Saccharomyces cerevisiae S288C: one gene and its partner. Changing the gene in region 1 together with any one later gene gives a genetic interaction. Each region holds a gene or a part of one and is shown in the gene's direction. Other genes may lie near its edges.

Region 1 (2,966 bases):
AACAACAGTAAGACCCCTTTTGCCTCAGCCTCTATCGGTAAATCATTTAGAAATGAGATTTCCCCAAGGGCCGGTTTATTAAGAGTCCGTGAATTTTTGATGGCAGAGATTGAACATTTCGTTGACCCATTGGACAAATCTCATCCAAAATTTAATGAAATCAAAGACATCAAGCTTTCCTTTTTGCCTCGTGATGTTCAAGAAGCTGGTTCTACTGAACCAATTGTCAAGACAGTTGGTGAAGCAGTTGCTTCAAGAATGGTCGATAATGAAACTTTGGGTTACTTTATTGCCAGAATTTACCAATTTTTGATGAAAATTGGTGTTGATGAGTCCAAATTGAGATTCCGTCAACATATGGCTAATGAAATGGCACATTATGCTGCTGACTGTTGGGATGGTGAATTGAAGACATCTTACGGGTGGATTGAATGTGTCGGATGTGCTGATAGATCTGCCTATGATTTGACCGTTCATTCCAAAAAGACCAAAGAAAAATTGGTTGTTAGACAAAAATTAGATAATCCAATTGAAGTCACCAAGTGGGAAATTGATTTGACGAAAAAATTGTTCGGTCCAAAATTCAGAAAAGATGCACCAAAAGTTGAATCTCATCTATTGAATATGTCTCAAGATGACTTGGCTTCCAAGGCTGAGTTATTGAAGGCAAATGGCAAGTTTACTATAAAGGTTGATGGTGTTGATGGCGAAGTCGAGTTGGACGATAAATTGGTTAAAATCGAACAAAGAACAAAGGTTGAACACGTTAGAGAATATGTTCCTAGTGTCATTGAACCATCTTTCGGTATTGGCCGTATCATCTACTCCGTTTTTGAGCACTCTTTCTGGAACAGACCAGAAGACAATGCCAGAAGTGTTCTTTCCTTCCCACCTTTGGTTGCTCCAACAAAGGTTCTTTTAGTTCCTTTATCTAACCACAAAGATTTAGTTCCTGTTACTACTGAAGTCGCCAAAATCTTAAGAAAGTCTCAAATCCCATTTAAGATTGATGATTCTGGAGTTTCCATTGGTAAAAGATATGCCCGTAATGACGAATTAGGTACTCCATTCGGTGTCACCATTGACTTTGAATCTGCCAAAGACCATTCTGTCACTTTGAGAGAAAGAGATTCCACCAAGCAAGTTAGAGGTTCCGTCGAAAATGTCATCAAGGCTATCCGCGATATCACTTACAATGGTGCTTCTTGGGAAGAAGGTACCAAGGATTTGACTCCTTTTATTGCCCAAGCTGAAGCTGAAGCTGAAACTGACTAAATAAATGACTTAATTTTAACTATATATCGCCAAACATGTAAATTAAAAAAAGAAGCGAGAAGTATATACATGTGTGTATGAATAAATAATTCGTTTACTATTGATACGTATTGCAAGATATGATTATGTACTGTCCACTAATACGATTATTTTGGAAGTTTATAAAAGAAGTGCGGAAATCACATCTGCTGTTTATTTAGCCATTCCTCACACTAATAGTTAAAGTACTTTCATAGCAGCTCTGCGCATGGTCGGACATGCGAAAAATTCTGATATCAAGAAAAAGCGAAATATTTCCGGCCTTGTAGGGGCCAAAACATTAACGTATATCAAGATTTCCTGTGGTAGCAACATTATAAGAAAAAAAGGTAGCCTTCATTGAAACATTCTCTCTATCAGCTTACCAAGTTAAACTCCGTATTCCACAAGCAAGTGCCAAAATGTCTTCTTCCCAGGTCGTCAGGGATTCTGCCAAAAAATTAGTTAATTTACTGGAAAAATATCCAAAGGATCGTATACACCACTTGGTCTCATTCAGGGATGTACAAATAGCAAGATTTAGACGTGTAGCGGGTCTGCCAAATGTAGATGACAAAGGAAAATCTATAAAAGAGAAAAAACCCTCATTAGATGAAATAAAAAGTATAATTAACAGAACTTCCGGTCCATTAGGACTGAATAAGGAGATGTTAACCAAAATTCAAAATAAAATGGTAGATGAGAAATTCACGGAAGAAAGCATCAACGAGCAAATTCGTGCCTTGAGCACTATAATGAATAATAAATTCAGAAACTATTACGATATTGGCGATAAGCTCTATAAACCTGCAGGAAATCCCCAATATTATCAACGGTTAATAAATGCCGTTGACGGTAAGAAAAAGGAAAGCTTATTTACTGCAATGAGAACTGTATTATTTGGTAAATAAAGAGCACATTATTTTCTAAGCTTGTAAATACATATTTATTCATAATGGAGAACGTTATTCAAATTTATCTGTGAATTTCTTTACTCGAGGTATACTTCCGCAAAGGAAATTCTACTTAGCAAATCCTATGGTAACGTCATTGTTTTGTAGCTTGTAAGTGGAGCCTAACTGATTCTTGATTTTCGTAGCATCAGCAACGGTCTCGTATTCCACGAAAGCTAGGTTACGAACGCTAACTAATCTGATTTCAACTAAAGCCTCATTGCCAAGTATTTGCGACAATAATTGCTCGGTAGTGCCGCTTGGCAAATTTTGTATAAGAAGGACTTTGTTCGGTGGATTTTCCATTGTATTGGACACTTTAGCCCGCTTAAGAGGTTTCTGCGATTGTTTTAGATTTTCTTGCTGAGACTTCATGTTTTCCAATCTACGGGTTTCAAATTCTTTTACAATCCTATCAATCTCAGCCTCCTCTACCTTTCTTGATCTCAGCTTATGCTTCAGGCGTCTTATTTGCCTTTTAAGCCTGAACTTTTTGGCGCATATATCATCACTACGTAACTTGCGTTTAAGTTTCCTTGCTTTAAGCACCTTCTTTATATCAAGGTTGTACGTTTCGTCATTACCTTTTTTTTTTTGCATTTCTATTGAAAGACCCAATAACGAATTTGTTCGAGCCTTTCCCATTCTCACTTTACGACCTTGAACTTTTAATGCTGTTGTCGTGTATTTTTCTAGAAACCGGTCTGCTTCTTCTTGAGT
Region 2 (3,084 bases), on another chromosome or scaffold:
ATAGCATCCATTGTTATGTTCTTTGATAATAGAATGCAGAAGTTCCATGAACTTGTCAATTTTCTCTGTTTCAATGGTGTAGAACATCAGCCTGTTACTGTGTATAGGCGAGAAGACTACTTTAGCCAGAGTGCCTCCTATATCAATAGCAAGGTTGAAAGTATTGTCGCCATAATCGCAATTGTAAGATATCTCTTGAGTAATTCGCGGCATTGCGATTCTTTTCGCATGCACTCAATTGGAACTATAAATTTCTTTATTCTGGTAGTTTTTTAGTTTTAATGATCAATCTGTTCAGAAACATAAGTTCTTTTTACTCATCGTTATGTTGGTGAAATAAAATTTCGGCCGATATTGGGGGAACTGCGCTAGTCGTTTAACGTCATGTAAGATTCCTAAGTGGAACAGTCAGAAGTAAAAAAAAAAAAATCGGTCCCGGCAATTACAAACTAAAGGAGCTCAATGCGTAGATCGCGGATAGTTCTCCGCATTTGAGTGAAACTTTTTGAGATACTGTCGTAAATACGCAATCATGAACGACCATATGAATAATACTCGATCATACCAACGTCACGTGTAAAGCTTTTGCCTGTTTCGAAAATGTGTTGAACTATTGAAATATAATAAAATTAAAAGGCAACCGAGCCCCTGGGTCAGAGAAAATAGGAAGACAAAGATGATTGAAGAGAATTTGAAACAGAAAATCCACGATAAGTTCGTTGCAGCCAAAAAGAATGGGCATCTGAAAGTAACGCATGCAGAATCCAAGAAGTTGAAAGATCCTCAAACGACGACACAATATTGGGTGACATTTGCTCCATCTTTGGCACTTAAGCCAGACGCTAACAAGAATAGCGATTCAAAGGCGGAGGACCCGTTCGCCAATCCCGACGAAGAACTAGTGGTGACTGAAGATCTAAATGGTGACGGAGAATATAAGCTGCTACTCAACAAATTTCCTGTGGTCCCTGAACATAGTCTCCTAGTGACAAGCGAGTTTAAAGACCAGAGATCTGCTTTGACGCCAAGTGACTTGATGACTGCTTATAATGTGCTCTGTTCTCTCCAAGGAGACAAGGACGATGATGTCACTTGTGAAAGGTATCTGGTCTTTTATAATTGTGGACCTCATAGCGGTTCCTCACAAGATCACAAACACTTGCAGATCATGCAAATGCCTGAAAAATTTATACCTTTTCAGGACGTATTGTGCAACGGAAAGGATCATTTCTTGCCCACCTTCAACGCAGAGCCATTACAAGATGATAAGGTTTCCTTTGCTCATTTCGTCTTGCCGCTGCCGGAATCGTCTGATCAAGTGGACGAAGATCTTCTTGCTATGTGTTACGTATCTTTGATGCAGAGAGCACTTACATTTTTCCAAGATTGGACCAATGAGTCTCCGGAGTTGACCAAGTCATACAATGTGCTACTGACCAAGAAATGGATCTGTGTAGTTCCAAGATCGCATGCCAAGAGTGGACCGCCATTGATGTTAAACATTAACTCCACGGGGTACTGTGGTATGATCCTCGTTAAAGACAGAGAAAAACTAGAGAACCTCACTGAAGATCCTCATCTTGTGGACAAGTCGTTACTGCAATGCGGTTTCCCCAACACAGCAGGCCAAAAACCAACAGAGTATCACTATTAAGGTCTATTAGCCATATGTACATTGTCTATAGATGTGTAACTGCGCTGTGATCTTGTTTTGACCAATCAGGAGCGACGCGCTTTTTATCGGGTCACCCCGGCGGGGGGCCTGACAATTTACTTTCATAGAGCAGTAATAAAAGGGAAGAGATGTAAAAGCTTGGAAAAATAGCAGTAAAGGTTGTTGTTGGACAATTTATCAGAATATTAGTAACTGTAATTAAACGTTCCAGAAAGAACAAAATGCCACAGTCTTTTACGTCTATTGCGAGAATTGGTGACTATATTTTGAAGTCACCCGTCCTCTCCAAGTTATGTGTTCCAGTTGCCAATCAGTTCATTAACCTCGCAGGTTACAAGAAGTTAGGGCTCAAATTTGACGACTTAATTGCAGAGGAAAATCCCATCATGCAGACCGCTTTAAGAAGACTCCCTGAAGATGAATCTTATGCCAGAGCATATAGAATAATCAGGGCTCATCAAACCGAGTTGACTCATCATTTACTGCCAAGAAACGAATGGATCAAAGCCCAAGAGGATGTTCCTTACCTGTTGCCATACATATTAGAAGCTGAAGCTGCAGCTAAGGAGAAGGACGAGTTAGACAACATAGAGGTCTCCAAATGAAAAGAAGAATAAAAAAATCACCACGAACACACAACCCGAAAAAAAAAAGGCATTAAATATTCATTTGAAAGAAGGGACAGAGACTAAATCATATCCTTTATTATCTCTCTATATATATATAAGCGTTTGCTTGAAACGTTTACTTCATATTATTTATTTATCTATAGTCTGAACTTAAAATTTTATTATGAAATTCGTATATTGTAATGTCTAGTGTTATAAATCGGGTATCTATTAGTATTTATTTTTTCTATAATTATGCAGGTGATGGGGTATCGAGTGGTCTATATATCTTAAATTTATTCTACTATTTCCTAGTGCAGAATAACTTGGCGAAAATTTTGAACTTTCTATTCTTCTTAAAAGATTTTTCTTCATACTGAGTTGAACTGTGCTTACTATCCTTGTTAATGGGAGCAGATTTTTGTTTCGTCGGCAAAATGACACTTTTATCAGATCCACTAGTTTCGTTGTATACGTGGAGGGGTTCTCCTCGTAGTATTTCTTCCGGAATACTCTCTTCTTCTTCGTCGTCTGTTTGTTTCTCAGAGTCAAGAATAGAAGAAGACAATGATGTTACATGGGCAAAATCCTCAGTAAAAGATACCATATCGCACTCCTGAGACTGGAAATTGAAGCTGCTAACAGATTTTCCATCTTTGGAAAAATACTTTTTTATCGACGAGGATTGTGGTGACAACCTAACCCTTTCGTTGATACTAGTTTGAAGGTTATCAATATCCTGAATTAGAGTTGTGGCAGGGGTGTCAAGGTCATAAAGGACGTCATCTAGATAATTACCAC

The links.
Region 2: of CBP6 (region 1) and QCR7, changing one suppresses a phenotype caused by changing the other (phenotypic suppression), as found in Saccharomyces cerevisiae (one study listed by BioGRID).

What each region holds. Positions count from the first base shown.
Region 1 is NC_001134.8:479,673-482,638, reverse strand, and holds CBP6 (Cbp6p), read left to right. Parts: upstream 1-1,715; coding exon 1,716-2,204; downstream 2,205-2,966. Other genes in the region: GRS1 (glycine--tRNA ligase), read left to right, coding at 1-1,275; MUD1 (Mud1p), read right to left, coding at 2,316-2,966. UniProt on the Saccharomyces cerevisiae protein: This protein is involved in processing of the 5' terminus and the intervening sequences of cytochrome b pre-mRNA.
Region 2 is NC_001136.10:1,495,361-1,498,444, reverse strand, and holds QCR7 (ubiquinol--cytochrome-c reductase subunit 7), read left to right. Parts: upstream 1-1,896; coding exon 1,897-2,280; downstream 2,281-3,084. Other genes in the region: CAB1 (pantothenate kinase), read right to left, coding at 1-213; APA2 (bifunctional AP-4-A phosphorylase/ADP sulfurylase), read left to right, coding at 677-1,654; HLR1 (Hlr1p), read right to left, coding at 2,588-3,084. UniProt on the Saccharomyces cerevisiae protein: Component of the ubiquinol-cytochrome c oxidoreductase, a multisubunit transmembrane complex that is part of the mitochondrial electron transport chain which drives oxidative phosphorylation.